Saccharomyces cerevisiae S288C: one gene and its partners. The gene in region 2 interacts genetically with the main gene of each other region. Each region holds a gene or a part of one and is shown on either strand. Other genes may lie near its edges.

The links.
Region 1: mutations in GAS5 (region 2) and NDL1 together harm fitness more than expected from each alone (negative genetic interaction), as found in Saccharomyces cerevisiae (one large-scale study listed by BioGRID).
Region 3: mutations in GAS5 (region 2) and URA4 together harm fitness more than expected from each alone (negative genetic interaction), as found in Saccharomyces cerevisiae (one large-scale study listed by BioGRID).
Region 4: mutations in GAS5 (region 2) and ECM4 together harm fitness more than expected from each alone (negative genetic interaction), as found in Saccharomyces cerevisiae (one large-scale study listed by BioGRID).

Annotation. Positions count from the first base shown.
Region 1 is NC_001144.5:640,778-648,403, reverse strand, and holds NDL1 (Ndl1p), read left to right. Parts: upstream 1-3,430; coding exon 3,431-4,000; downstream 4,001-7,626. Other genes in the region: HAP1 (Hap1p), read right to left, coding at 1-1,989; YLR255C (uncharacterized protein), read left to right, coding at 2,451-2,804; CQD2 (Cqd2p), read right to left, coding at 4,068-5,777; SYM1 (ethanol metabolism protein), read right to left, coding at 6,347-6,940; nucleobindin SSP120, read right to left, coding at 7,383-7,626. UniProt on the Saccharomyces cerevisiae protein: Required for nuclear migration to the bud neck during cell division.
Region 2 is NC_001147.6:264,924-273,458, reverse strand, and holds GAS5 (1,3-beta-glucanosyltransferase), read right to left. Parts: upstream 5,273-8,535; coding exon 3,818-5,272; downstream 1-3,817. Other genes in the region: ribosome-binding protein MDM38, read left to right, coding at 1-1,456; YAP7 (Yap7p), read left to right, coding at 2,089-2,826; YOL029C (uncharacterized protein), read left to right, coding at 3,039-3,644; SIL1 (Sil1p), read left to right, coding at 5,930-7,195; OPI10 (Opi10p), read right to left, coding at 7,290-8,030; glutamate--tRNA ligase MSE1, read right to left, coding at 8,374-8,535. UniProt on the Saccharomyces cerevisiae protein: Splits internally a 1,3-beta-glucan molecule and transfers the newly generated reducing end (the donor) to the non-reducing end of another 1,3-beta-glucan molecule (the acceptor) forming a 1,3-beta linkage, resulting in the elongation of 1,3-beta-glucan chains in the cell wall.
Region 3 is NC_001144.5:959,241-967,440, reverse strand, and holds URA4 (dihydroorotase), read right to left. Parts: upstream 3,657-8,200; coding exon 2,562-3,656; downstream 1-2,561. Other genes in the region: guanine nucleotide exchange factor DCK1, read right to left, coding at 1-1,544; proteasome regulatory particle lid subunit RPN13, read left to right, coding at 1,881-2,351; YLR419W (RNA helicase), read right to left, coding at 4,706-8,200. UniProt on the Saccharomyces cerevisiae protein: Catalyzes the conversion of ureidosuccinic acid (USA) to dihydroorotate, the third step of the de novo pyrimidine biosynthetic pathway.
Region 4 is NC_001143.9:575,767-583,895, reverse strand, and holds ECM4 (S-glutathionyl-(chloro)hydroquinone reductase), read right to left. Parts: upstream 1,614-8,129; coding exon 501-1,613; downstream 1-500. Other genes in the region: MSA2 (Msa2p), read right to left, coding at 1-243; YKR075C (uncharacterized protein), read left to right, coding at 3,146-4,069; AIM29 (Aim29p), read right to left, coding at 4,220-4,687; YKR073C (uncharacterized protein), read left to right, coding at 5,389-5,709; phosphopantothenoylcysteine decarboxylase complex subunit SIS2, read left to right, coding at 5,773-7,461; electron carrier DRE2, read left to right, coding at 7,916-8,129. UniProt on the Saccharomyces cerevisiae protein: Active as '1-Cys' thiol transferase against beta-hydroxyethyl disulfide (HED), as dehydroascorbate reductase and as dimethylarsinic acid reductase, while not active against the standard GST substrate 1-chloro-2,4-dinitrobenzene (CDNB).

The DNA of each region.
Region 1 (7,626 bases), on a different chromosome or scaffold from region 2:
CAAGGTAGTCAAATCATTAGAGGCACTTTTCATATAGAAGTTGTAAAAAATGGCAAACTGCACCGTGGTTAAATTAACGTTGTTATTGGAAATACTAGAAAGTTCATCGAATTTAATCAAGTATTTTTGACATAGCTCCAGTGCCTCGACCGGTGTCTCATGCTTTAGCAGAAGTGATTCTTCTTTAGCCATCGAGGTCAATGCAGATGCAGACATATTGCTAGATTCGTTGGGCACTAAAAATGAGCCACTTTCTTCTCCCAGGTCGACTTCGCAGGAATTAGAAGGTATGGATAGCCATGTCAATCTCAAGATTATTATCAGAATACCTAAGTTACAAGAATCGGAAAGTTTTGGAAGATTGATTTGTGTTATGGGTTGGTTCTCTAGTGTAGATGAAGATGGCATGCTCATACCAAAGTTGTTAACTGTGGGATTCATCGAAGACAACGAAAGCATTTGATTCACGTGATTTTTGAAATTCTGTTCATCTAAGATTGGAATGGCAGGGTATAAATGTTTGAAGAATTTCTCGATGAATAATGCGATGACGCGCTTTGGTGGCAACATCTCACAAAGTGTTGCGAGGACTTCAGATTCTGTCATGTAGGAATCATGTTTCCTGCTTTGTGCGGGATGCGAACGAGCATGAGATCCGGACTGTGGTTGGTGGTGTGGGATGGTATTGTGCGTTGAAGCTGGTAAGGCCGCTGTATTTTTCATGCTTGAATGGTCAATGGGGCAACGACTTGCCGGGTTCGAAGAAGAATTTGCCATGTCAGAGGGATAATCCTTCATATAGTTTCTATGGTCCACAGGACATTTTGACTGAGGCGGATTCATTGTATGCTTGTTATGGTCTATCATAGCTTTAGTGGAAAATGGGGAAGGTGTCTCGTCCTTGGGCGGCATCATTCCTGCGGAATACATGGTGTGGTCAACGGGACACCTCTTCTGGGACGAAGTGTCCTCTCTGGGAGGAATCATTCCCGAAGAGAACATGGTGTGGTCAACTGGACATTTCCTAGGAAGAGGAGTCTCCTCCTTTGGGGCCACCATGCCAGACGAAAACGCGGAGTGATCAACAGGACATTTTCTGGTAGCGGCGGCAGCGGCAGAAGGCGGCGCTTGCGCGTGATTGATGGGACATTTGCTTGACTTCAGCTTAGAGTACGAATTTTTTTGGTAGTACCATTCATTTAACTTTTCCCTCATAGCGAAGATATGACCCCACAAAAGTTTTAGGTACGGGTCACCTTTCATGATAGACAACCAGTGGGTGGCACCTAAGTGGATGGTTCCGTTACTTTTGATATGCAAAAGATCAAAGTCCTTAGTTAAGTCCAGCTCATCGTTGTCATATTTATTTGAGATAGAAAGGGACGAGGAATTCGCGTTGGCGTTCGCACTTCTGGAAAAGTCTTGTTGTTGTTCCTGTTGCTGCTGTTGCTGTTGTTGCTGATGCATATGCGAGGCAGAGGAAGCAGAGCCTGTATTTGCATTAACAAGGGTGGTGTGTTCATCGCTACCCATAAACAGGTTGCTGCTCTCGGGAGTGTTGTAACTTTTCAAGGAGTTAGACGAAGGAGAAGAGTGCACCTTAGAAAGAGTCTTTTCTAAAGATTTTACGCGCTCCCTAAGCTTCTTTAATTCGTTGTCCTTCAGCAATTCTTTCTCTGCCTCTTCTGCCCAGGTCTGTTCCATGTAGTGGCAGAGATGGGCTACCCCAGTTTTAGTGCACTGCTGGCAGTGTGGTCTGAGTTTGTCACATTTGACTTTCCTTTTCCGACAAATGGTGCAACTGAGCGGAATTCTGTTACGCTTCCTCTTGATCTTGGACGAATCTGAAGACATGTGCAAGGGTGGAGAGTTAGAGCTGGTGTTGGCACCGGGCGTAGTTGCTGTATGCATGTTAGGACTTCTTGAGACCGAAGACTGGGTCATGGATGCAATGGAAGGCACAGATGAATTATAAGGGGTATTCGACATCTAACCTATTGTTCCCTTTTTTTTTTTTTCTTTTTCTTCTATTTCCTTACCTTCTTGCCTGCGACTGGAGAAAAACTAAAAGGCCAAATTGAAAGGGAAGAAAAATTTTCTGCGAAAACAAAACAAGATGCTTTGATAAAAGGAAGTTGATGGAATGAGGTTCGATGAGATGAAATCAGATACAATTTTGTGCAATATCTTCAAACCTTAAAAGAGCACTGCAGGAACCTATTCTTTGGGAGAACAATAGCGTCTGTGTGCTTGCGGTATCTTGAGTTGTGAGTCTCAAATGTGTGCTTTGCATCTCGAAGAATAATAGAAAAAACCGAAAACCGAAAAAAATTGTGCCTCAAGAGTATATCCGATATATATGAACGCGATCGAGTTACCGGGGCCGTTGCTGGTGCCGTTGCCTGGTATTCTAAACGAGGCCGCGAGGGTGGATTTCGCCCGACGGGTGAATGGGTGTGGGTGGAACGAGGATTGTATCGTTTAGACAGCCGAATTATTACCCGGTTACTCAACAAAAAGGGGCAAGCCAGACAGGTGCAGTGGCTCAGCCGTACAGCTCGTACTGTGGTTTGCTAATGCGCTGGGCGGTTGTTGAGATAAGAAGAAGAGGGAAAGGGAAAGGAAGAAAGAGGAAGAGAGAGAGAGAGAAAGGGCACACGAAATTCAGGATACGGCGGAGGAGTTATCTTTATTTTATACGGTCTTGCCTTGTAAGGCCCTACTCAAGCGGGAACAAGAAAAACAGTTGTAGCTTCCACAAGATGTTGGCTATAGAGATTGTTCTGTGCTTAAAGGCTCGCTAATCAATATTTCTTGAAGTACGATTTCTGTGTGTATAGATTCTCCACAATTGTTTTTCTTAGTGAGGCTCCGCCACGATCGCGTCTTGCCATCATCGTCCATCCATGGAAAAGAGCTACAAAAAACGACTGCTGGTGTACATACAATGCTCTGGGTTTCGTACATTTGCTTACTAAGTGACAGAAGCGTTCATCGATCCTTCGAAAAGGGTAACAGCGGAAAAACAGGAAATATTGGCTACATACTATAACTCAACAACGTATCATGAACTATTCCGCATATTCGTAACCTTATTTGTAGCGCAGTAAAGCCGCTAAAGAGGTCTTCTCCTATCGGATCTTGCTTTTTTCTTCCTTTTTTTTTTTTTTTTACAATAGAACAATAAAAAAACTGAACGTTCTCTATATCATCTGTGACGGCAAGTATCAATTATTTTATCAATTAGTTTGCAGAATCGGGAAAATTAATAACATTAGAAATGAAAGTTTTCATACATAAATTTGCAATTAAGGATGAAAAAGAGGGATAATAAGGGCTACAACAAACCACGAACGGCCGAAAGAACAATCCTCGCAAATTTAATTGGAATATCCAAGGGACATATACGTGCAACAATTGCGACTTTCCTATGGTGCCGAATTTGGATTTGGAAACAGCTATACAGATAATCTCCTCACTGGAGACCCAGTTGAGCGAGCTTGAAGGCGCCACGAAAGAATATGAAAATGATTTGGAACAAGTAATATCAAAGTTAAAAAGCGATCTTCTTGAGAGCCAACAACAAAATAAGTGCAATAAGAAACAGATAACAGATTTAGAGATACAGGTAGATGAGTTGGAAAATGAAAATATCCAACTGAGGAATAAGATAGAGACATTACAATTGGAGAGTGACCGACGACTGGAACGCAACGTTCTACTGGAACACGAGTTACTCGACACCAAAGAGGCGCTGCAAAAGTTAAGAGTCAGCAAAGAAGAAGCCACTAGCGGTGAGACTAGAAGGAACACCAGGTCGTTACCCAGTCAAAATAAAAAAATGAAGTTGTTTAAGGATACTATCAAAGTCTCGACCACATCTTCAACCTTGTACTTGCAGAACATGGCAAAAACTAACAACGCTGCAAGAAGTCACTGTAATATTCCAAATACCCAAATAACACAATCCACTGTGATAGCAACAACGTCTTCCGTTTAATGACACATATAAAATTGTTATATATAATTTTACGTATATATTTACAAGTAGAAAGAACGCTAACGATTTAAGATGACAACCAAGTCTTCGGAATAAATTTTTTCCACCACAACACAAAATCATAAAAATACAATTGATTAATACGCCTCTCATAGACTATCCAGTTTGTCAAGTTCTCCCACATCCATTTAATAGACCACCTCGCATACTCCGAATTAATTCTTTCCACTTTTTCGTCGTAGACCGTCTTGGCGCAGTATTGCGTCATGATCAGGAAAGTCCTCTCTGGCCCGAGTGGATTCTGTAGACATTCATCAAGATGTCTGGTTAGGTCGTTAGTCTTCAATATCAAAAGCACTACACGAGGGATTCTAGACAAAATGCTCATCAAGTCGCTCAGTAACGTTCCTTCCAAGATCCCATTTGCCATGACGTCCATTTCTTCTTGTGTTCGACTCGTTGAAATGTCGTAATTCAAAGCAGCATCAATGCTACGGCCCGTAATTGCAGCCGCTAAAAGGGGAAACTGTTCGTCGGTGATGTTTGCGAATCCTTTGGCATACTTCTTCATTTTTGTCTGGTCCTTGTCGAATAGGAGCGACAACCAAAATTTGGCATAAAGTCTTCTTGTTCTCGTGCTAGGATATCTATAGAGTCCGTGGTCAAATAAAACAATTTCAAAGTTATGGTATCCATTATCTTTAGCGGGCTTAACAGATCGTATGGCCAGATTTCCTCCATGAGGATCACAATGAATACCTACATTGGGAGTAAAAATCATGTTATTGAAAATATGAGAGAGACAACTCGAAACTTCACTGCGCGAGATACCGTGACTGTCAATGTACTCCAAATCATCCAACCTTTTGCCTCCAACATATTCCATAATCAAAATTCTTTTGTGGCTTTCAATGACCTTGGGTATTTTCAATGCTGTTTGCTTCTTGAACTTACTAAAATAATGACGGGTTTTTTCTGCATTTTCAGCTTCTTTGGTAAAATTCAGTTCCACGTAGATTGAAGACTGAAGCTCATCACCAAGCCACGTTAACGGATAATCAGGGAAGAAGACATCCAGCAGTTCAAACACTGTTCTTGTCAGCATAACATCTAATGGTATAAACTCCTTCAACGATGGATGCTGACATTTGACAGCTACACTAGAACCTTTACCGTCACTATTTTTTAGTTTTGCCACATGAACCTGTGCCAAGGAAGCTACACCTATCGGGGTTTTGTTGAATTCTAAAAACATATCCTCAATGCTGGTGCCTAGATCTTCTTTAAATAACTCATCAATTTCTTCGTAGGTGGATTCGGGACAGTGGTCTTGCAACGGTATCATTGTATCCGTCCATTCTTTAGGCAACAGGTAGGTCATGGCCCCAATGTGCTGGCCTAATTTGATATATATCCCACCATTCGATCGTAGCGCATGCAACGTGATTAAGGCACACATCTTATGACATTTATTTAAGGCAACTTCTCGTTCTTTTTTGTTCTCATAGCTTTTATTTAGAGCCCTCTTGTAATGGTAGAAGCAACGAGTGGTAGCTTGTGTGACGACAGCGATTCTTTTAGTCGTCAGTGCCGTGTGCTTTACAGAATCATGAAAAGTGTCATTAAAGTTGTACAAAACTACTGCTGATGCAATAGTCCCACCCACCAGAAGAGATTTTCTTGTCCTGGGGCTTCTTTGAGGGATGCTTTTACCTGTCCTAACGTACCGACGGAATACCTCAAACGGTAGTTTGTTAAAAAAAGCTTTGGTCATCATCTACTATCAACACCGAATAAGAAACATTCAACTATAATCTTGCTCCGTTTCAGGCTCAATAAACTTTCAGACTGATTCTTTCCAGTTACGAAGGTAGGAGTACAATATGCATACATAACGCAGCGATTTACAAGATATGTTCCTCGGGTCTATGTTTTGACCTCTTTTAACGGCATATGAAAAAACCTTTGAAAAAATGAAATATTATATAAAGGTCCAGAACCCACAGTGGTACTAAAAGGCCCACTTAAGTCTCACACCTAATTAAACACCTTTGCATAAACGGTAGCTGAAGAACAACAGGCATGACCGCAATAGTGAAATGTTAGCTACTATTTCCTCTATAAAAGAAGTACGAATGTAATTAAATAAATTGTTCCTGACCAAGCACATCTGTAAAGGAAAAGCAGATTGCTAGCCAACTTTGGTGACTCAAATATTTATGAAGTTGGTCTGCTCTCTGCCGAAAGTCTATTAGGTATATGCTGTTCCAGTACCCCAAGGAACAAGGTCTGATAAATATGCTAGTTGAATTCCAAATATTTTCAAAATCAGGATTTCTTATCCAGTTATTCGACCACGGGTGGATAATGAACAGGTACCTTGTCTTTCTCCATAACCTTTGAGTTTTTATAAGATAAGTAAGTGTTCCAAAATATTGCAACGACATTAACAGCTAGTAACCTATGTTGTAAAGGAACAACAGAAAAGTTAATCGCTTGGAAAAGTGGCCAAACTGCCCAATTAGTCAAAAGTGTAGGCCACCATTGCTCTTTTATTTTCAACTTAGCTACGTCAAATGATCTACCTTCCATGATGGACATACAGGTGAAATAAAATGGCAAACCTAGCGGCGCAAACGCCAATTGATCGACAGCTACCCGTAAAACCATATTAGACCAGTGGTACTGAGGTCTGTTACGCATATAAATCTTGTTGTTCAAGATCTTGTACCACTTGTCACCTATAAAGGAGAAAATTAAAGAACCATAGATGACAGCCCTAGCTGTCCTTTTATAATCATAACCCTTGTTTACTTTGGATGTTGGAAACAACAATTGAGCAGAAACATCACCAATTCCAAATAGCGCACCTGTCATTATCGCATTCGTAGTTTTGGGCCTTCTCTTCAAGCTCGCTTCATATAAATGCAATAACTTCATACTGTTTTAATATCAATTCTATCTTTCCTATAGTAATAACAAAAGACTGTGTTTGCCTTTTCCCTTTTGTAAGGCTAAATATGACAACATAGCATTCAAATAGCTCTTCTATCATATCACTATCATAGATATTTCCATTTTTTTTTTTTTTTCACTTTGTACTTATACTGTTAAAGTTCGACATTTAAGGGACAAGGAGGTGCCACTGTTTCCCGAAACGCTTCTTGTTACCATCGGAGAGAAAAGACCAATACATACGTAATTAGAACATAGAAAATAGAACGTTTAAAGTAGATAGTTAATCACAAAGGAGAGGCATCACAACGATGCGATGGTAAAAATATATTTTAAGTGCTTTGATTACTTACTACATGCTAATTGACTACATACATAGTGTCTTGAATATTTTCTCAGTCTCAACTATTCATCTTGACCAAGTCCATTAAAAAATTCCATTTTTGAATTTCTCGGGAATATTTTTCAGCTCTATTCTAGACTCTAGTTCGTCATCAGTTATTACAGTAGCTCTAGAAGCGCCTCTTTGAATTTCTTCTTCATGTTCAATTTCATGTTCATGATGAAGCAATTCATGTTCTATGTCTTCTTTGTGAACGACTTTAACGTCTGGATCTTTGTCCTTATGAAACTTATTCCAGTGATGAATTTCATATTCTAGCTCAAAATCG
Region 2 (8,535 bases):
CGCCTTGAAACATTATGCTAATGGGACGAAACTTTTGGGTTACGAAATCAAAGTTTCTACTAAGCTTTTGATTAAATTTGCTCAGGGTTACGAGTTGTCTAGAAGAGAGAGGAACCAATTGAGGAGGACAATGGGCGATGTGTTTAGGTTGATCCCTTTTTCAGCGTTCCTTATTATTCCATTCGCCGAACTATTTTTGCCTTTCGCTTTGAAACTCTTCCCCAACTTACTACCCTCCACTTACGAATCCGGCAAGGATAAGCAAGCCAAGAGAAATAAGCTCATCGAGATCAGAAAAAAGACATCCGAATTCTTGCATGAGACTTTGGAAGAATCCAATTTGATCACTTACAACACCATTGAAAATGCAGAGAAGAAGCAAAAATTTTTGAATTTTTTCCGGAAGCTTTATTCTGCCAAGGAAGGTAAGATTATGACTTTCCAACACGATGAAATAAGCGCCATTGCGCAAATGTTCAAAAACGATAGCGTTTTGGATAACTTGTCAAGACCACAATTGGCAGCAATGTCGAAGTTTATGTCACTAAGGCCATTTGGTAACGATAACATGCTTCGTTACCAAATTCGTTCCAAACTAAAGGATATAATGAACGACGATAAAACTATTGACTACGAAGGCGTTGAAAGTTTATCGCAAGAAGAGCTGTATCAAGCTTGTGTGTCTCGTGGTATGAAAGCGTACGGTGTATCCAAGGAGGACTTGGTCGATAATCTAAAAGTTTGGCTAGAATTGAGACTGAGACAAAAAATCCCATCCGTCTTGATGGTTTTGAGTTCCACGTTCACGTTTGGAGGACTTCCAAAGGAGAACTATTCAAAGGCATTCTCGCCACTAGCTGAAAAAAAAGAAACAAAAAGCAAATATGACGACCTTTTGGATCTGTACTACGACGGTATATTACAAGTGCTAAGTTCCATTCCAGATCCCGTTTACAACGTCGCAAAACTAGATGTATCTGAATCGAAATCATCCGCTGCTGAAACTGAAGCTGAAAAGCAAGTTGCTGAAAAGAAGATAAAGACGGAAGAAAAACCCGAGGAAACTGCTATACCGAAGGAAGAAGCCACCGCAAAAGAGTCTGTTATAGCTACCACCGCTTCTGCGGTTACTCCTAAACTAGTCGTAGTTAATGAAAAGGCAGAAACAGCGAAGACAGAGGAAATATCTCAGGAAAAAGAGAACGCAGAGCCTACCGACTCTGCGGAAGCCACGGAAGCTGAAGAAAAGAAGACATCCGACGATAACGAGTTCAAATTGAACGTTTTGAAGGAGCAAGAAGAACTAATAAAGAAGGAGGAAGAGGAAGCTAAGCAAAGAGCTTCGAGAGAGCATGTGCCAGATGATATCAACCTAGATGAAGAGGAAGAAGCAAAATCTGTACCTCCCATTCCGGCCGATCAAGCTGCGAAGACTTTTGTCATTAAGAAAGATTGATATTAGATCAAAGCCTAAGAAAAAAACTAAAAAAAACTAAAAAAAAAAAGTCAATCGGTTCTCTTTTCTCTGACAACAATGGCAAAAGATCAAAGAGAAGCGTACGTCACGGCAAAACCAGCGACCCTTCAAAACTAAATTATTATGCATGTATATAATAGACACCCTATCTAAACTACCGCCTTATTTTTTTTTTTATACAGGAGCAAAGTGTCTTTTTTGTGATGGCCACGAGGGTCCTTTCACTCATGACTCCTTAATCAGCATCTTATGAGCTGGATTTTCATATATCGGCGATTTTTTTCATCGGTAATGCACGCAGTAAAGCTGCTCGCTCGAGAAAAATTAGTAATATATGGAAGAAGAAGCATAAGCATAAAAGAGAAAATCCGCTGCCCCACCGTAGAAAGCAAACAAGGCTATTGGTTATTCCTCTTTTCACCTGTACTTCAATCTGTAGCACATCATCATAAGAGGCTTGAAAGTTGCTCAAGAACAGTTTCAACGGTTTTTTCTTTTGAAATTTGAAAATTGCTCTTCGTTTGTTGAGCCGTTATCAAGGAAGTAAATCATCAATTAAAGAATATAGAAAGGCACAAAATTTTGTCATTTACGCACACTTTCAATGGATCATGAGACAACGAAGGTCTGTAGTAGCAGTTAGCGTAAAGCCCAAAGGCTTCAAATTGGGGCATAAACAGGGTTCCATGTCTACGACGTCTCCACCTCCATCCTCACCAGATGGAAATGTGAGTACATCAGGACCGTCAGCTATTAAGTTATCCAAGAATTGGGAGTTACCACAGCGCCTAAAACCGGGCCGCAAACCGAAATCCAAGCGCGGGGATGCATCAGCTAATAATGATGGATCGTCCAAGATAAAGAAGGTTCAAACTTCCAACCAGAAAGACCAAATGACCACAAAAGATCATGAGAACGAAGGCGCAAAAGGTCATGAGGGGAAATCTGATGATGAAGGCAACGGAAGTGGTGATGAAAACGGTGTCGATAGCGTGGAAAAGCGAAGGAGGCAAAATAGAGATGCGCAAAGAGCATATAGGGAACGCAGAACAACAAGAATCCAGGTTCTGGAAGAGAAGGTTGAGATGCTACACAATTTGGTCGATGATTGGCAAAGGAAATATAAACTGCTGGAATCTGAGTTTTCCGATACAAAGGAAAACTTGCAAAAATCAATAGCATTAAACAACGAATTGCAAAAAGCCTTGCCTTTGATTGTTAATACTCCATTTCAACAGCAGCCAGAAAACCCGCCAGACAATCCTATTTCGATATTAGAAATGGTAGAAAACTTTAAACCAATCGGCGCTGTCAGTTTAAAAAAAGGAAAGCTGAAGGCCCATTGTTAACATCTCATGTGCCCGCGGTATTAACAGACCAGTCTTTGTCTGAGATTGATATAGCCAACGATTATCAATATCTGAGCGGCAGACAGTTTAGTTCAACGAATTCATCGCTTGATGGCCATATTAATTCACCTCTGTCTTCATGCAGCAGCAGTATCAATGCATGTGCAGGCAGTGGCAACAAAAAAATAAAATGTTGTAGGAATAAAGATGCCATGAAACCAGTAACATGTTGCAACCAAAAGAATAACATAATGCCATCCTTAGTCCCCGTTTGCTGTTCAGAAAAGAAAATAGAATCCGATGCTAAGAAATCAATATCGAAATGCTGTGGAGACAAAGAAATCTACGATAGCGAGAATAGACCGATCACTAAAGAGGATGGGTCATGGATACCTGGAAGCTGCAAGCAATGTAGATCAGACCCCCATAGTAGGAATTTTTGTCAATCACTTTCGAATAAATGTAGTTCAAGCTCTTTCTCTTCCAACAGTGCGTTGTCACCGGATCTAAATGAACAACAAACTGACGTAAATTACAATTCAATCAAGCTACCCGAAATATGTTCCTGCAAGAATGCACAAATGAATGCGGCTTCCGATGCAAAGAGGTATCTGCCGATCAGTTACACATATCAAAAAATCCGTCAACATATGCAAAAAAATAAAAGTATCCAAGAACAACTAAATCCTGAGGATTCAACTTCGATCTCATCAGCGTTAGAGAACATTGCATCTGGATTGCACGTTCGTGGACAGAAAGTAGAATTGCAAAGCATCAAGGATGCATTACATAAGATGGACAAAAACGTCTTGGAATGATGTATTTAGAAAGAAAAGAAAAGTGGAAGCATAAATAGTGCATATAGATATAGGTATATATATGAATTTTTTAATAATAATATTAATGATGTTTTTTTATCTTAAGAACATTAAAAGTAAGCGGCGCTAACGGAATAATTAGAAACAATGTGGTAAAGAACGGGGGTGAAAACTCATAAAACCAAGTTATAAAGTTCTGCCAAAGCACGGAATATCAAAGGAATCTCAATAATTCCGGCAGCACCCTTTGATTTCGAGGACGATTGGCTGGACGAAGTAGCAGATGCGGCAGATTTTAGCAAGCTCGTTTCGCTAGCAGAAGGGGAGGAGGAAGATGCCTTTGAAGTCGAGGATGATGATTCAGAAGATGAAGAAGCGGAAGATGAAGATGAAGAGGAAGAAGAGGATGAAGAGGAGGTGTCGTCGTCTTCTTCGTCGTCATCGTCCTTAGCATCACAACTTTGTTGGGTGGCGATTCCGGTTCCCATAGGAGAACCTGCTCCAGATGTGAAGTAAGCAGAAGCAGCACTTGGCATAGCAGGCAAAGTGTTATTAGCTTCCCAGACACCCTTTTCATAATCAGGACATGTAGAATAGTTGTTGGAAGTACTGTAACCACCATTGCCTTCTGGGTTGGATACTTTGCTGTATTCATTTTTCAAGTTTTCAAAATCTGTCAATTTAGTGACCTTGTCACCATCAATTTGAACGAGCCCGTAATTGTTAGTTTCATTGGAATATTCGTAGACTAGCCCACCGGAGAATACAGAAGACATTTGAGTGGAATAGATAGCTTCAATTTCTGTGAATGGACGAGAGCTCTTGACTTGGTTACAACCAAATTCACTTAAGAAGACAGGAACGGAGTAATCTTGATATAGCTTCATCTTGGTGGAATAACCCGATACCACAAATGAAGATTCACCACACCAAGAATAGTCATTAACACCAAACATGTCGATTCTAGCGTCAGCTTCATCACCACAGTTAAAGTATTCAGCAGCCAATTGTCTGTTAGCGACGATATCAGCAGCCGAGTAACCTACCGGAATTTGTCTGTATTTTCTAGCCTTGATGTATTTCTTCATGTCCCTGACCACTGCCTTGACATAAGTAGCAGTGTTGGTAGTATTAACACTATTGATGACCTCGTTACCAGCGAAAAAACCTAGAACATTGTCGTAATCAGCAAAGGTATCAATGGTGGCAAAGACATTTTGTAAGTAGTCAGCGTTATAGGAGCAGGCTGGATCGTAACGAGAAATAGCACTCGTGGGGGTATTGACATCCAGGATCAAGTATATACCGTTCTCCTGCAATAGTTTCATACAATGGGAATGATCTTGCGAGTTATCCACAGTATAAACTCTGACAGTATTTATCCCTAGATCTTTCAGAACGGGGACGTCTCTGTCACAGACAGATGCGTCTGCTAAGGGATCAGTCAAGTTAGAAGAACCACCAGGCTGGTAATCAACACCACGGATATAAAACCTTTCACCTGATTCCGAATTAAAAAATGCATTGCCTTTAATTTCAATGGATGGTGTGGAACTGTTACTGCTGCTAGCAGCCTGAGCCAAACCAGCACTTAAAACGAAGGCACTTGTAAGAGAACGTAGTAACATAGCTATTTAGAGCTGTGTGTGTAGCGAGTGATATATAATATGTTTGTTACAGCCCACTGTTTACTTTTATATACGAAATGCAACACTGTCAACAAATCAGTTCAGGGACCTTCCTATTTATAGTATAAGCAAAATAAAAGTGAAAAATTTCCTGCGGAGTTTTTTTTCTCGAGAAATTGTGAACAAAAGAAAGCAAAGACACAGAAGATGATAAGAGAGAGAAACAACGAAGAAAGAACAACAATGTTGGGGTTCACCCGAGAGATATTGACATACTGACCTTAGAAAAGGCATTACTGAGGCTACTGACTAAAGCGCGTTACATAAATGCATAGTATATTTCTTGTTGTATACGCAGCGGCCAACTAGTGGCAGCAAGAATGTAATGAACGATTCATCTGCAGGTTTGGAGGCCGCAACTAGATCAAAACGTAAATAGCGGGTGAAGTGTTCTGGACGTTAGAAGTAACGTCCGCAGATCGAAGCTAAACACGAGATTAGATTTCGGGTAACGGAATTGTGATAATTAAGAAAGACCAGACTATGTGAAAAGGCCACGTAAATGATAGAGCACACATTAGCAACTATAATAGACTAGTTTTCGCATCGCTGGAAGTTCTCGATATTGAATATCACTTCCAAGAACGCAAACTTAGAATGGTCCGGATTCTTCCCATAATTTTGAGCGCCCTATCTTCGAAATTAGTGGCGAGTACAATATTGCATTCATCCATACACTCAGTGCCATCTGGAGGCGAAATCATATCTGCAGAAGATCTTAAAGAACTTGAAATTTCAGGGAATTCGATCTGCGTTGATAATCGTTGCTATCCTAAGATATTTGAACCAAGACACGATTGGCAGCCCATACTGCCAGGTCAAGAACTCCCCGGTGGTTTGGACATTAGAATAAACATGGACACAGGTTTAAAAGAGGCAAAACTAAATGATGAGAAGAATGTCGGTGATAATGGTAGCCATGAGTTAATTGTATCTTCAGAAGACATGAAAGCATCGCCTGGTGACTATGAATTTTCCAGTGATTTCAAAGAAATGAGAAACATCATAGATTCTAACCCGACTTTATCTTCACAGGACATTGCCAGATTGGAGGATAGTTTTGATAGAATAATGGAATTTGCGCATGATTACAAGCACGGCTACAAAATTATTACCCATGAATTCGCCCTCTTGGCCAACCTTAGTCTCAATGAAAATTTGCCGTTAACATTGAGAGAGCTCAGTACTAGAGTCATTACCAGCTGCTTGAGAAACAATCCTCCTGTAGTCGAGTTCATTAATGAAAGTTTTCCAAATTTTAAAAGCAAAATCATGGCCGCTCTGTCAAATTTGAATGATTCTAACCACAGATCCTCTAATATCCTAATAAAAAGATACTTGTCCATTTTAAACGAATTACCTGTCACATCCGAAGATCTTCCTATATACTCTACGGTTGTTTTACAAAATGTATATGAAAGAAACAACAAGGACAAACAGTTACAAATAAAAGTCCTGGAGTTGATCAGCAAAATTTTGAAGGCCGACATGTACGAAAATGACGATACAAATCTAATTTTGTTCAAAAGAAATGCTGAGAATTGGTCGTCAAATCTGCAAGAGTGGGCAAACGAGTTCCAAGAGATGGTCCAGAACAAAAGTATAGATGAACTACATACAAGAACGTTTTTTGACACCCTTTACAACTTGAAGAAAATTTTCAAAAGTGACATCACGATCAACAAAGGGTTTTTGAATTGGTTAGCGCAACAATGTAAAGCCAGGCAATCTAACTTGGACAATGGGCTCCAAGAGAGAGATACTGAACAAGACTCATTTGATAAGAAACTTATCGACAGCAGACACTTGATCTTTGGCAACCCCATGGCTCATAGAATAAAAAATTTCAGAGATGAACTCTGATTTCACTGTCATTGCATATATAGTTTAATATTAATAATATTTTTTTCAATTAATATTTCGTGAATCTTATTAGAGATATATTATATATCCGTGTCTAATTTTTAGTTACTTCATCCAAAAACGTCCCGTCGTTGGCCAGTCTATTTCTAAATTTGTCCCACCATGTATCAAACCTCTTGATGGGCACGTTTCCCTGAGCATCTAGGAACCCTGATAAATAGTTATATGCATGCTGAACGATTTTGGCGGCCAATTCTTGTGTCAATGAAGGGTAAACTTGTGCCAACTGCCCTGCCGTGGTAATATTTCGAATTATTCCTAAGTTAGGTCTTGACAAGATCAATGAGTTGTTCTTTTGTGCTTCGGCATTCATGCTGGCCTTCCACTCTTCTAATTTCATCATTCCTTGTTCTCGAGGCTCAATGGAAATACCAATAATCAATTCTGATATGTTATTACTGCTACTTCCATTGGTGTCAGTAAACGGATCAGCGGCCCCCGAACCATCATCTACATCCATGTCTATCTCACCTAATCCATCACTTGTATCTCCAGCGTCTTTCTTCGAGCTCGGTATTTGCACTTTGAATATGGCACTGGGTTTCTCACTGCTTAGGTACCCAAATAGTTTAAATTCTTCCTGAGGGCTAAGTTTGAAATAGACTGTAGCTATATAATCCTGAGGAAAGGTAACATTAGGTAATATAAACAGTGTTATATGCGAGTATAGTTTCGGTTTCGTTCGAGAAAGGACAATTGTATGCTGTAACCCATTTGAATTGGGGACTTCTACCGATAGTTGCAATGGATTTCCTGAGGCAATTGCAGCAAACATTTCTTTATTTTCTCTCACTCAAATATTTCTTATCAATCTCCGAATTTGCAAATTTATTAGACCACTTATTTTCGTATTTAAAGGGTGAGTCGAATTGACGTATTTTAAATAAAATGTAGATCTCTCCTTTTATCCCCAAATTTCGCTTTTAGTACCCGATTCCTATATAACTCTTCCAGAACGTTCGGTCGGCTTCATTAAGAAAATTCAATTAAACTTAATTAAACTTAATCAAGCTTAATCATAATAACAAAATAAACGTATACAGTAGTGGCTAATTACATTATGTATATGACGTATTTACATGACCCTATTGTATCGAAACCTTTTATTAATATTATTATTACTTTTTCTCTCTTTGCAAGAACTGTAAACCTTCGGATAATCTTTTGTTACTTTCCTTGATGCCCAAAATATCTATCATGGCTGCTATTTTGGCACCTGGGTGACATCCCGCAAGAGCAAATCTCATTGCCTGATACGTGACTTTCCTAGAAAAACCGTT
Region 3 (8,200 bases), on a different chromosome or scaffold from region 2:
GAAGAATCTTTTATTATCTTATTTATTAACCCGCCCCAACCTAAATCCGCATCCTTTGAAGAGTTGAAGTTTTGCGAATCCGAGGAATCGGAGCTATAAAGATAAAGGTTAAACCTCTGAGCTTTATTCGCAACTGATAGGCCGTTATAAAACTTGAATACCGGAGATATGTTAATAACTCCGGCAGCTAAGCCCTTTTTTACGTGGTCAATCTTATTCTCAGTCGATGAATTAAATGGAGAAAATGGGGAATGTGAACTTGACTCTTCGGTAGATATATTGTAAGATGAAATTTCCGGAGCAGTTTCTGTTGTAATTGCTATTGTTTCCTTCAGCACTACTACTAAGTATACTTTATTTTTATGGACTATCGTTTCCAAAATATTCTTGAATAACATTGCAGGAATTTCATCTAGAGCTGATTCCATATTGGACGACTTCGTCATGGTAAAAGACTCTGTTAAAACTTCGTCTTTGGTTCTCAAGTATACACAAATAGAAAGATCTTGATATTTAGGATCTGATATAGAGGGATCCCATGCCAGATCTTTCAAGTTAACCAAAATGCTCGATCTAACTGTGCCGAATAGTCCGTTAGATGAGGACTCATCATCGGACTCTACCACAGGTACAGTAGGAAAATTATTAGTTAAACCACAAAGCATTGACGATGACACTAAAGTTCTTAATTTGTCGATCTCGTATGAGAGCAATTCGCCAGTATCAATATCCCTGGCAAAAATTCCTTCGAAACCATAAGGATCTGGGTTTCTTGGAGTAGAGTTAGCAATTAGTTTATTCTTCCTGTATGTGGAGGACAAAAATTTTGCGATTTTAGTTCTTAGGGATGTTGCTGCTCTTATCAGATTTATTTTCTCAGCCTCTGTGGTTAAATTCATAGACAATCTAAATCGTATAGTGTCCAAATCATAATAAAGTTTTATCATTTTCCTATATATAGAAAACTCGCCAATTGAATACATAGAGTAAACATGCGAGGAAATAAGAGATAATATAGGACCCATTTCGTCCTTAAAGGACCTCTTTTGGTATCTGAAAAAGGGGAACGGAGGTCTCGGTGTCTTTCTTGGTTTACCAGTTGATATATCATCAGTAGAGCTAACATATAGGCTGTCACAAAAGGAGCGGGACTCACATTCTTTACTTATCAATGGTTTAAAATCCTCAGCACTAGGTGCTTTGAAAAATGGCATTGTGCTGACGGCTTTTTCTGCTTCAAAATGAACATATTTTCTAGGAAATATCACTACTTTCGGTTTCACGTCTGGCAGTACATCATTCGCCGAGTTCATATTCGATATGAATTCTTCAGGAAAGGGTCGTAAACATTGGTACGCTCTACACCATTTCTTATCCACAGATTCTTCGAAGACGTAAACTTCTGCACCCACATAAACGTTCGCATAATTGCTGTTTTCATATACCAGCTCAGGATACCTTTGTAAGGGAAGGAAAGATTTGACTAGCACACCATATATTAGCCGATCCGTGGGCAGCCAGCGCTGTGAATCCTGTTGCGACATTGTAATAGTAATCTCCCTAAAGAAAAAAAGACCCCTGTTTTATATGACTAATCTTCGGTCCTCTATAATTTCAATTGAAGCAATAATTGACTGAGTGGTGTACAAACGGTTGCTTGAACCATTTATATTATTTTCAACTCATCAAGTCATCCCCTCCTTGATATGCGTTATTGATATATTTCAGTTAAAATTCCTCCGTATTTCGTGATATATTATTCGCGAGGTGGCGAAAGCTTTGCTACTAAATACTCTACTATGACCAGTAGATTAGGTTCTATAAGGGTGCCAGAAAACTACCTAAGTGCTGGTTGACTTATAAATTTTAAAAGAGTGTTGATGAGTATGAGTTCAACTGTAATTAAATTCAGGGCTGGTGTTTGTGAATACAACGAAGATTCACGTCTATGTACGCCAATTCCAGTTCAGGGTGAAATCGAGATCAAACCAAATGAAGAGGAAGAATTGGGATTTTGGGATTTCGAGTGGCGTCCAACGGAAAAGCCGGTCGGGAGGGAACTTGATCCTATTTCTTTGATTTTAATTCCTGGAGAGACCATGTGGGTTCCAATAAAATCCAGTAAAAGTGGCAGAATATTTGCTTTAGTTTTTTCATCCAACGAAAGGTACTTCTTTTGGCTGCAAGAGAAGAACTCAGGTAATTTGCCCTTAAATGAATTGAGTGCGAAAGATAAAGAAATTTACAATAAGATGATTGGAGTGCTGAATAATAGTAGTGAAAGTGATGAGGAAGAAAGCAATGACGAAAAGCAAAAAGCTCAAGATGTGGATGTTAGTATGCAAGATTAAATCAAGGTTGTGGCATTTTTTGATAAAAAACTGAAGAGAAAAAATATACCATATCAACGCATTTGGCTGTGAACTTCTGTAAAGAGATACGGACCATAACAATAGGCATGATGATGGCATCTATAACTTCTATTGGAAGGTAAGTTTATTTTTCCCATAAATATGTATATATGGTCTATACTCTCAAATGAGCCTACATATTGTTGCATATTAACGAGGTTCCCATCTCACCGACCAACTTAGTTTATCACCTGCTTTAAATGGGATGATGCTTATGTCTTTGCCATCGCTGATAACCTGAGGGATAACTTGTTCTTTTTTGAATAATATTGCCTTATCTGAAGAAGCCACTTCGCTATCTTTAACCTCATAAAAGGAAATTCCGAAGTCGGAAACAAAGCCCTTTAAGTTCTCCAAGGCATTTTGCTCTTCAAAAACTTGGGCGATATAAGGGATCGCAAAAGATTGTGAGTAAACTCCTGCGCAAACACCCTCGTAATTGGCCTTATTTTGTACAGGATGAGGTGCTGAATCAGATCCAAAGAAAAAATATGGTTTCCCTGATACAGCAGCTTTGACTAGAGCCTTTTTGTCATTTGGAAGTTTCGCAACAGGTTTGCAAAAATTTACCGGATTTCCGGCCCAATCATCAATTGTTAAAAATAAGTGATGAGCCGTTAATGTGGCAGCAACCTTTACGTCAGTGGCTTTCTTCACGTTCTTATTTATATCCTCGATTGTCTTTATTGCCGACTCGCTAGTGCAGTGTTCCAGAATTATTTTCAGGTTTGGGAAATCATTATGCAATTTTTTCAAGGCTGGCAAAAAGGCTTCCTCTGCATTCAATACATGAATAGGTTCTTTGTCTCCATCATGGACAGAAGGTTTTTCCCCATGCAAATTTAATACCAGGTTCTCTTCTTGCATAGCCTTGAAAATTGGGTAAAATGCGCTGAAGTCATTTGGATCCACCCCAGCAGCCGAATTTGTTGTTACTCCCGCTGGATAACACTTTACTCCACGAATGGCATGTTGTTGGGCAGCTTCATGAATTAAATCTGGAGTTAAGTCTTTTGAAAGATAAAAACTCATTAAGAAGGTAGTTTTAGGAGCTAGTTTCTGCAGTGTCTTTTTGTATTCAATCACTCTATCTAGTGTGGTAATTGGAGGTTGTAAATTTGGCATGATGTAAGCAATTGAAACCCCACCATCTCTAATCTTGGGGGTGACTAGTTCACACATCGCACCCTCTCTTACATGAACATGCATATCACATGTCAAACCTAAATCGATTTCTTGTACCATTGCTTTGTTAGGTATTACTTAAGTGATATAGTGGTCACCAGAACACTTTCAAAGTATATCCTATCTTTCAAATGTGTTTATCTCTTCTTATATAGCTTCTCTGACGATGCCGATTCATCGGAATTCTCCGAATGATGAAATTTGACTCTGTAGATACTATTCTTGAAAAAATTAGAGCTGATGCCGAAAGACAACTAAACTAGCATCGGTTTCAAGAAAAAATACGCGAGAGGCAGCATGACATGAGTGAATTGTGGGATAATTGTTGAGATTCTATTTTTTTGTAAAGCTATAATATTAGGCATACAAAACATATTAGAAGTTCTCAACGAGGACATGGGAATTCGCAGGAAGAAATCGATATTTCTATGTTATAATATTAGTGTTTCTTCTTTCATTTCAAACGATACCATTCATTTTGTAATTGCATAATTAATCCCTGCATTTCAGCTCCCATTAAATTGGCTAATCCCTAGTGTTGTTCTATTAGTCTCATGATTTATGTCTTTTCTTAACGGTGTATAGTAATTTTCTAGCAACGAAAATGATGTTGGTAAACAATTGTACTAGTATTTGATAAATTTTTCAGAGGCTTACCAACATTAATGAGATATAAACAGATGTATATTGCAGAATAAAAAAGATGTAGCAATATGCATGCGTAAAGATTAATCAAGTTAAACTGGATGGTGTTCGTATCCTGTATTTCCTTGTTGTTGTATTATCGACGGAGGGTTGGCCGAGTGGTCTAAGGCGGCAGACTTAAGATCTGTTGGACGGTTGTCCGCGCGAGTTCGAACCTCGCATCCTTCAGTATTTTTTTTTTATTTTGACGGCGCCACAAAATTTTTAAAATATGGCAAAGACAATGTGCTATGTAGTTTACGGGATTCTAGCCCTGATTCAGCAAAGAGAAAAACACGCAGTCGCAATAATCTCTTAGATTTTTGTTAGTGTTTTATACTTTGACACTTCTATATGTTAAAAAAATTCCTTTTCGAAAATGAAGATGATAATTATTATACAGGGACTACAGTAGGAACTGATTACTATTGTTCGGAAGCTATAATTTTTTCAACAATTTTTAGAGTTTTATCAGCACCAGAATTATCAATTTGAGATTTTTTAGCATAATCGGGACTTTCTAACTTTTTCCTTATGGCCTCATCAAGTTGTGTTCTCAGTTCCTTGATTAAAACACCATTCTTACACCAGGTTCTAATTGGGAGCCAGTTGTCGACAACGATGCCCGGTGAATGAATAGTACCTCCAATGTCATAAGAGATTGCCCCTCCGAATAATAGTAATGATAATGTAGTAGTTGGGGTTAAGTCCCTCAAATACAACTTATTAGTAACTTGAGACGTGGTAAACAAAACAAATGGGTATTTTACAACGGTTGGTATTTTGGATTGACGGGATATTGGACCATCCACCTCAGAGAGTAACTTAGCGTCTTCCAAGTTTACTGAATTGGTTGAAAATAAGACTGAACTTGGATGAATGAATGCCCTAGTAGCAGGTAACGGTAAATCTTCCAAATCAACCTTTTGCGTCTCTTGCGAAATTTTCGTCTTATATTCTTCTAATTTGTCCTGATACTCTTCGCTTCGAATCCAGTATTTGATCATTTTGGCTTCAGGATCTTTTTCAACAGCACCGGAACTTGTTGATAGATACTTTACATCTGGTAGTTGCACCCTGGCTATGTGTGGATAAAACGCACCCGTGAGAATGGCCCTTAGGATATCAAAATTTCGCTCGTTCCTATTCAAATCAGAAATGCTTCCAACTTTATAGTCCATTGGTAGAAAGCCTACATCTTTCAAAATAGAATAATATTGGGCTGTTGATGACTTAATTTCATTAATTTTATTATAGGAAAGTAAATTGTCTCTCAAATATTTCCTTTTGATGCTCGAATCTTTGATTTTGAAGTAATCTCTGACAATTTCCAATACTGCAAATAAATCCCCACGACTTTCATATTTACATAGCAGTTTTTTTATCTTTTCCCTATTTTCAAAACCTCCGATGAAAGGCAAAACTCCAATACCGAGTATCGAGACAAGTAAAACAGAAATGTCCGTACAGCCAAACAGAATGCCGTATATTAGTAATTTACCATGCTTACTATCCATGACAGGCATCAGGCTAATAAATTGACCTAGCTGTGTGAGTGACTTGTCGGACTCATCAACAAGTCCTATCGTTGTTAATATTCTTTCTGCCTTTTGCAGAGCTGGTAAAGGAGGGGCATCCAAAGCTGTGCTCAAAAACGCTTTAACGTCCTTTATACCCATAGCCTTAACAGATAAATAAAGGGATTCCAACGGGATTCTTTTGATTTCTGGAATTGGCATTGATATCATGTCGTTTTCGTATAAATTTTTAGAAAATAATTTGTAAGATAAACCTTCACGTACTCTACCAGCACGACCTCTACGTTGTTTAACTTCAGCTTTTGAAATAAACGACTCAATTAGTTTTGTAGTATTATCCTTTGGATTATAGAACATCGATTTGGCACGGCCTGTGTCAATAGTTGCAACACAGTCATCTATAGTAATAGATGTTTCAGCAATATTTGTGGATACAACAACTTTCCTTTTCCCATGATATTTTTTGAACACCCTTTTTTGGTCTTCAGGAGTTAGAGCGGAGTGCAAGGGTAGAACCATAAAATCTGCTTCATTTGATTTATTAGCTAGCAAATTGCAGCACTTATTAATCTCTCCCACACCAGGCAAAAAAACGATAATAGATCCGTTGTCATTAGCAGCTTTCAGGCGTTTATGTACATATTCAACCACTTGACAAAGCAAATCATAATTGATTTGCCCAGATGTAAAAAACTTAGAATCTGCTCTCGGCTTCAAATATTGGTCGTCATTATTTCTTTCATCAACGCTATCATCATCATAAGACAAAGCCTTCTCTCTCTTGATCTTGAAGTCAAGGTCACTAAGAATGTCTTCCAAGAAGTAATCAGTGATGGGGAAAGTGCGTCCTTCTATGTGACATGTTGCTAGCCCCGGAAAGAATTTTTTGAACAAGTCAACGTTAACAGTAGCACTCATTAAAACAATTTTCATGCCGCGAACTCTATGTAAGAGATTTTTCATCAATGTCACTATCAAGTCAGTATCAATAGAACGTTCATGAACTTCATCAATAACAACAATTGTGTTTTCTAACATAGTTCTAGCATTCTGTAACAACCTAACAAGAACACCTGTGGTCATGAACTTGATACGTGTGGAAGCTTTGGTTTTATTGACACCTCTTATTACGTAACCTACCTCTTCCCCACAAGTTACACAGCGTTCATCAGAAACACGTTCAGCAAGCCCAATAGCCGAGATTCTTCTGGGTTGCGTACATACGATTTTAGTCTTACCGAAATCTCCTTTTTCCTTCTGTAAGAAATCTAGTATAAACTGAACGACCTGAGTGGATTTACCCGAACCTGTTTCACCAGTAATCAATACAACTTCGTTTTTATTGATGATATCTATAATAACCTTTTGCTTCTTCCAGGCAGGCAGTTGTTCTCTAACTAACTGCATACTTTTGTATTCAGAACTTTTGATCCTTTTTGTGTACTCTTCCCTTAGGACAGAGAGCGTGTCTTCAGAAATGGTGGTTTTTGTGAATTTTCTCGAACTAGAATTATTTATACTTCTCTTACCGTTTGAAATGTTTCTTTTGTTTATTGCACCTTTCGAATCTGAATCTGGAATTAATGGGCCAGGGTTGTCAATTATCTTAGATATATTCTCTTTCAACCATTCATAAATATGATATACTAACATATCGCCTATTAGATTTCCTTCCTGGAGATAATGCAGTAACCTGGTTAATATTTGTTTCTTAATATAATCAGGTAGCTTGTAATTTTTATCAAAGGTTGAAACTACAATACCAGGTAATGATGCAGGATAATTTTTGGTTCTATATACTTTCAATTTTATTTTGAGTTTTTCAATTAAATTGAGCGTGTAGTGTGAATCTTCCTTGGCGTCCATCACGCAGCCCTCATAAATGCTCTCTAGGCTCTCTAGCTCTTGGTTCCAACATTCTATAGATTCAGTTTCTGATACAGGTTCATTCGTATTGCTATTTAAAGTTGGTAAAATTTCCCTCGTCAAGAACCCGGCCGCTTCATTTTCATTCATATCGTTTTGTTGTAAAGCCAATAAGGCTTCATCTGAAGAGACACCAATTTCTGTTAAACGCTCAACGATCATTCTAGTTGATAACGGTAGGTTTGTTATTTCAACCTTGTTTTTTGTATCACCTTTCTTTTTATGAAAAAATGGTGGTAAATCATCTTCCGGTAAGTTAAACAATAAGAAAGACAATGGATCTTTATAAAGCATGGCTTCCTCTACGTGTTTTGGTCTAAATTGTAGAGTTAATAATTTTGCCTTGAGATCTTCCCGATTTTCAGCAATTGTCTCATTTTTATGGCTAATTTTTTTAGCTTGCCAATCAATTTTCTCTTTCAATGAAGTTTCTATCAGTTGTCTAGACGATTCATC
Region 4 (8,129 bases), on a different chromosome or scaffold from region 2:
GTTTATAGGCCCCAGTATTGTAGCCTTACCATTTTGCCCAATAGACAGTGAAAATTTACCGAAACTGGAAGACCGGCCGTGAACCTTCATTGAAGACGATGACACAACAATTGAAGGTGATTGGTAATCCAATGAGGAGGGCGTTTGCATTGAAGGGGCTCTGATTGGCGAGAAGATAAGAGTGTGGCTAGATTGCGGTGTGGAGCTGAATCTCTGCTGTTGTTGCGGTGTTGTGTATACCATTGATTGGTTTAAAAACTGCTTCCTTGCTAAAATCTTTTGTAAAACGAAACCGATAAAGAAGAATAACAAACTACAAAGTAGAAGAATGAATACAGCTGTGCATGAATGTCATATTATGAAAATATTTCATTGCGTTAAATATAATTTCCAGGCCTTTTTTTGCACTTTAACGCGTTTCGCGTCAATTACCCAATTGAGTATAGAAAAAGAGGCAACTCAGGGAGATTATAGACATTTGATTATTTAATTACAGCTTGTTATAAAGGACGAATATCTGGCTTGGGTCCCAGGGGCGTAATTCCCAAGGGGTTGATCCTTGTGTGGGAACGCGTGTAGTGTAACTTGATATGGTCAAAATCTGTTGTGTACCTGAAGGCATCATAATTCCAGTATAAATTTCTTACCCACAAATGAATAAATGGATATCCGGCTCTAATAGAGGTAAAATTGCATTTGAAATGTTGGACGTACACAGGATCGAATCTTATGACGGTAGTATACAATCTAATGTCAGCTTCTGTTAATTGATCACCCACAGTGAAGAACTCACCCAAGATTTTTTGTCTATCTTCTTCACCGTATTTGGCCTTCAATTTGGAATATTTGTCACTCAGGATTTTCTCCACTTTGTCCAAATGTTCAAATACGTTGTTGACTTCACTTTCGTAAACTTCTGCTTTCTCTGCGAATCCGGTCTTGTATACACCATTGTTGATGCTGTCGTAAACCCAAGAATTGAAGTCATCGATCTGTGTTTTCAACTGAGCAGGAACAAGGTCCGTTTTCTTGTGATCGTCGTCGACAAATTCATCGAACGCACTAGAGTTCAAAATCCTTATAATTTCGCTACTTTCGTTGTTAACAATTGTTTGGGTTTCTAAGTCCCACAGGACTGGGACGGTGAACCTTGCCGAGTATTGAGGATCGCTCTTGTAATATAAGTCACTGATTCTCTTGTATCCATAGTGAGGCTCATTGGTAGCATCAACCATGAATCTTTGACTGTCATTCTTGATCTCGGCGAAGCTCTTGCTGGAATCCTCTTTAGCAGTTCTAATACCACCTGCAACATCGTGCCAATGTTCCAAAAAATCTTCACTGTCCTCCAATTGCTTTTCCATGTCCAAAAATCTCCATCCTTTCTCGTCAAGGTGCCAATGGACTACGCTACATCCTATAACAGAGGTTAATCCCTTCAAAGCCCTCGTAATTAGTGTTCTATGGGCCCATGGGCATGCAAGTGAAACATACAACCAATATCTTCCCTTTGCTGGCTTATAAATTGGGTGTTGCTTAGAGATTGTTTCTCTGAAGGACGAAACCTGTCTTTTGAAAGCTCCGTTTGTACCACTCGCCCACTGTTTCGACATTTCTTATTTATCTTGCGCAGGGTTTGGGTAAATTCTCGTAAGCACTGTAGTGATGGTAAGAGCAGCGTTACCTAATTAACTACCTTTATACAAGAAATGGAAAAGGGTTGAGAGGGGTTGGACGCTAAGACAAATAAATAGGGGTGTGAAATTTCAAGAGCTGACTAATATCTTAGTAACGGAGAACAACAGAGAACAGATGATAAAACTATATTGATACGTTCAAAAGGTCTTAGGACCGTCTGAAGAGGTGAAATAAAGATGGAAAAGTTTGCGTCACCAAGCCTTTTGCGTCGGTTTCCTCTGTAACACTTTTTAATTCAAAGTGTTAAAATCTCAACTGTATACCCTCTAATTTGCATAATAATGAAACTAAATGTAAAAAAAAAAAGGAAAGAAAATCACTCCATAATCAGGGTAATGAATCATTTTACAGTGTCATTTGCATGTTCATACACATACCCTTCTTGACAGAATGCAGGAAAAGCCTCAACTATTTATCGGACACATTCGCAAATGTCCATTGACGAGTAAAACGTTTCCGCGTCACTACATTCGTCACTACACAACTTTAAAATACCTTATTTTTTTAATTATGCGGAGTAAGTATCTTTGCAGAACTAGATGGTTGGATTGAGCAGTAGGCATCAGTGACTCGAATTGGTGCTCATTTTTATTTTAACGTACGATTTGTTCAGGCCTTGCTATGACAAGCTTCCTGACGAAATCATACTGCAAGATACATAGTCCCAGTCCATAAACTAGTAGAATGACAAAAAGAAACTCAGAACATACATAACACGATAGACAACGTATTCACGGTTTTGAACCCCACGTAGTATCCTTCTAAATGGCATTGCCTTTACCACATGAAAAACTAAGAGAAGAAAGCTCTCTGCACTAATCATTATAAACGACAGCGGACCCGGAAGCGAGTACCCGAATAGGCCGGGGAAGGAAAAGATAGAAAGGAATCTTTTTTTCTTCCCCCCGCTCTTTTTTTTTATGCTTTTTGGGGTTTTTCCGGCAACTTTCAACAGAAATGCCGTAGCCGGAAAAACCGAAAGCGGGGGACAGTGAAGCGTGAGAGGGGCGAGACAGGGGGAACTTGAATGGGGTATTTTGCTTTTGCTGCATTTTTTCCGCTGGTACCTCTATCTTTAGGCGACCGGAAAAATTCATTTTCTCATCTTTTTTTTTTTTTCGTTTCCGACTCGATACTCTTTACAAAGAAACCCCCGCGGGGAAATGTTAGATTTGAGCTTTTTCCGCCAGGAAAAGAAAAAACCTGGGGACATTAATCTTGTTTTTTCTTTCTTCTTTTGTCTTCCCTTGGATGACTGCAGAAAAAGTACAGTTACCGGGTCTTAGCAAAAACAAACATATATATATATATATATGAAAGCGTATGGTCAACACGGTTTTATAGGTTTTACTTTTTGCATTCAGTTCAACTTTGGCCCTTTCTCTTATCGCATTCAGATACTACACACAAGTGTTCATACACACACAAATAGATACATATACAGAAAATGACTAGTTTGGACGATACAATAATTTCGTACCAGAATATAATGTTACTGGATAACATGACCAACTACAACAAGCCTGCGATTGACTATTTCCATCATGAATTTAATGATGCAAGCTTGGAAATATCGGCTTCATGGACACTACTATTGAAGATGCGCAAACATAAACTACTTCGATTACCAAGTTGCTCTTCAGAGGACGTGCTAGATTACAACATGTACCTCGTTAGGCTACATCATTGCCTCTGGAGGCGTTGGTCCATAAATCACTATGGTTTACAGAACTCCAAATCCAATCCACTGTCCATCAACTGGAACAAAGAAACCGATGTAACGGTGTTGTACGGTCCAGATTTGACTAACATAGATAGTAATGAAAACGAAATATCGCCGGTCCAGAACCAAATTGACCAGAAACAAACAAAAAATCTAAAATCTGCTTTAAAGAAAAATACGGAATGCTGGGTAACCGAGGAGGTGGATGAGATTAACGCTTCTATAGAGAGCAATGACAACGCTTTGGTGAAATTAGAAGACATTTCATGCCCATCGTCTGTTGATTCTCACACGTCTTCCATTTTCGACCAGCATTCTACATGCACTAAAATTTCCTCCATAGATGAAGATTCTGAAGACCTTATGAACGAAAAGAAGGAACAATTCCCCAGGAAGTTGAAGTTTAACCAAGCCGTGATGAAGAGGGAGATCGACTCAAAGGGGACTATCCGCGAATCCCTCATCAACATAAACGATATCCAACATTCCCGCCACCATCGCCGTCACCATCGTCGCCATCATCACCATCACCATCAAAATAGTTCTCATTCTGATGAAACAATAAAAGAAGCTCATTATGAGTTCAGCAACTATACATTTGGCACTATGGAAGAAGACATTTTTTATAGGAACCAGGTTGTTTTTTAAAGGAGAGTTTGCTCTCTTCTGCATTTCCACATACACATTTGATGTTAATTTACATACGAGTATACTCTCGTACACAACATATATATATATATATATGTAATATATTCATAGCACTTACTTATTAATGAAGGCCATAAGCCAAACAACATCTCACCATTTTTCTTCAGGGTTTTCTTTAAACCTTAGGTAATCCTCTTTGTTGAAAAGCGAAATTTCGGTTTCATTCTCAATGCCATACTCGAACAGCTTTTTTTTGTCATTCTCTATGTCTAAAGTCCAGTCGTCATCGTGGTCAAAATTGATCACGAGATTAACCGTCTTGGAACCATGTGCGTGCGTGTATATCTTTAAAGTATCAAACTTAACATTACGGAATGGTCTGAATGAACCTTCATTTTGAATTTTGTTCAAAACGTCATTGAACAGGTCCTTTGCAGTTTTATCAGCAAGATCGTAATCGTGCAGCACTATGTTCTTGACGTTTCTATATGGGAAAGATTTTATTACTCGGATTGTAATAACGGAGTTCTTTAGTGGTCTGGCATTTGAGGTTAATGGCTCTTCCAAGTCATAATCATGAAAGGTTGTTGACATTTTCAGCCTTTTAGTTGAATTCATGAAATAATGCAACCAAACAAGAAAAAATTTGGGGGAGGTAGTCTACGCATTTCAGTTCTAACTTCCTTCCTTTTCTTTCACTATTAATTGAAACTTATTTTCATTTTTTTTCTTTAGCATTGAACGCCGAATCTAAAAAAGTAAAGAACTCCTCATAGGGGGCTCGAACCCCTGACATTTCGGTATCCTTGCTTAAGCAAATGCGCTTAAAAGCCGAACGCTCTACCAACTGAGCTAACAAGGATGAGTTCTTCGGAGGGCTAACTCATATAAATAACTAATAAAGGCGAAATAGTGGTCACCACCATCACACTACACCCATATCAACGACAAGAGTTTAATTTGACCGTGGAAATTTATTACTGCTGATTTGGGTTCTATGATAAATCCTCGTAACGTAGAGACTATGTTTTTATATGCGCATTAAGTGCCGGAAAACGTGAGAAATAGGCTTTCCGGAGCATCAAACCTGAGGTTTCATAAATTGTGTTCGTGAAGGATGCATTCCAGAGGGCCATCCATCCAGCATAAAAAGAGATCTACAAAGCAATTATGTGGTTTCGCCATTATCCGTAGGATGACCTAAAAAATGGTAATGATTCACGTGATCTAGAAACTTTAACGTGTTATATCATTCAAGGCGTAACTTATACGCGCGGGGTACCCTATCATATCTAACACACGTACCCTGGGTTAATGCCATGATCGTCTTTGATGTATCTCTAATGATCATTATTATTTTTTCTTTTGCTTTTAACATGAGTCAAAGCAATATTCTTATGTTATATAACTCACCCCATGTGCTCGTGGGCAGTGACGCACGCAACTTTTTCTCTTGCAAAAAATGGCATCGATGCTTTTCTGGGGAGGTGATATTAGAGGAGAAGAAGTCACAGAGTGCTCTTGGATCACGATCCCTCACTTGTACTTGTCCACTTATCAGCGCCGTCCAGTTACATTTGGAGAGATCTTTTTTTAGCCTGGCCTTCTTTGCTGTCATACTACTTTATATTCCGGGATAAAATATAAAGAAATATTAGTTAGGAAAAAATTAATAGGGAAGAAAGATCTAGAAGCAAACAGCAATGACTGCCGTCGCCTCTACTAGCGGGAAGCAAGATGCTGACCATAACCAGTCTATAGAGTGTCCAAGGTTTTCGCGTGGACAGAAAGAGATTTTGTTGGACCATGAGGATGCGAAGGGGAAGGATTCAATAATCAACTCCCCCGTGTCAGGGAGGCAATCAATAAGCCCTACTTTGTCGAATGCTACTACCACGACTACGAAATCTATTATGAATGCCACCGGCACCTCCGGCGCAGTAGTAAGTAATACTCCGGAGCCTGGTTTGAAGAGAGTCCCCGCCGTCACTTTCAGTGATCTAAAGCAACAGCAAAAGCAGGATAGTCTGACTCAGCTGAAGAACGACTCAGAAAGGACCAAGTCTCCAAATAGTAATCCTGCTCCTGTCTCAAATTCCATTCCTGGCAATCATGCAGTTATACCGAACCACACCAACACTTCAAGAACAACGCAATTATCTGGGTCTCCACTCGTCAACGAAATGAAAGATTATGATCCTAAGAAAAAAGACAGTGCTCTTAAAATAGTTGATACCATGAAGCCTGACAAAATCATGGCCACTTCAACGCCAATAAGTAGAGAAAATAATAAGGTAACCGCCAAAGCCCCCACCAGTATTACACTTCGAAAGGAAGATGCACAAGATCAAGCTAACAATGTTTCAGGCCAAATTAATGTGCGTTCTACCCCGGAAGAAACGCCAGTGAAGCAGTCCGTCATTCCTTCCATCATCCCCAAAAGAGAGAACTCCAAGAATTTGGATCCCAGACTACCTCAAGATGATGGAAAATTGCACGTGTTGTTTGGCGCTACAGGTTCGTTATCGGTATTTAAGATCAAGCCAATGATTAAAAAACTAGAAGAAATATATGGACGTGATAGAATAAGCATTCAAGTTATCCTCACTCAATCAGCAACACAGTTTTTCGAACAAAGATATACCAAGAAAATTATCAAATCTTCAGAAAAACTAAATAAAATGTCGCAGTACGAATCCACTCCGGCAACTCCAGTGACACCAACACCAGGACAATGCAACATGGCTCAAGTAGTCGAGTTACCCCCACATATTCAACTATGGACCGACCAAGATGAATGGGACGCATGGAAACAACGAACTGATCCTGTACTTCATATAGAACTACGTCGCTGGGCGGATATACTGGTAGTAGCTCCATTAACTGCAAACACATTATCAAAAATTGCTTTGGGCCTGTGCGACAATCTTCTGACAAGTGTCATTAGAGCTTGGAATCCGAGTTATCCCATTCTTTTGGCACCTTCTATGGTGAGTAGCACTTTTAATTCTATGATGACAAAGAAGCAACTACAAACGATAAAGGAGGAAATGTCCTGGGTCACTGTTTTCAAGCCGTCTGAGAAAGTTATGGATATAAATGGTGATATTGGTCTCGGGGGTATGATGGACTGGAATGAGATTGTTAACAAAATCGTTATGAAATTGGGTGGGTACCCAAAAAATAACGAGGAAGAGGACGATGATGAGGATGAGGAAGAAGACGACGACGAAGAAGAAGATACAGAAGATAAGAACGAAAACAACAACGATGATGATGACGATGACGACGATGACGACGACGACGACGACGACGACGACGACGACGACGACGATGATGACGAGGACGAGGACGAAGCAGAAACCCCAGGTATAATAGATAAGCATCAATAAATAGTCTATGAATTACAAATACACTAAACACATTCTACTTATTTGTGTTTTGTAATTTCTGGAAAAATACTCATTAGGCAAATTCACGCAGCATATTTACAAAATGTCACAAATTTTTTTCCTTTTTTACTTGCAGTAGGTATGTAATGCCATACTAGCGTACATAGAGCTCTTCATATAAACCGCTATTTATTACTAATTTTAATAATTCAGTAATTCATTAAATACATTCATTACTTTCTGGGTAAATATCTATTCGTTTCTCATTTTTCTTTTTTTGACATATCCCGGTACCGGAATAAGTCCGATACTATTCAAAAGCTTCTGGAAAAAAAAAATAAAAAAAAGAAATGATTAGTAATCATTTAATTTCATGACATATTAAAAAGGTATTCTAAGCAGAAGTCTTTCATCACATTTGATCTAAGCATATACACTGTAAGTGAAGGTATCGATGTCACAATACAAAACTGGTTTACTTTTAATACATCCGGCGGTGACTACAACGCCAGAGCTAGTAGAGAACACTAAGGCTCAAGCTGCATCAAAGAAAGTCAAGTTCGTGGACCAGTTTTTAATCAATAAACTAAATGATGGGTCCATAACTTTGGAAAACGCAAAATATGAAACAGTACACTATTTGACGCCAGAAGCCCAGACTGATATTA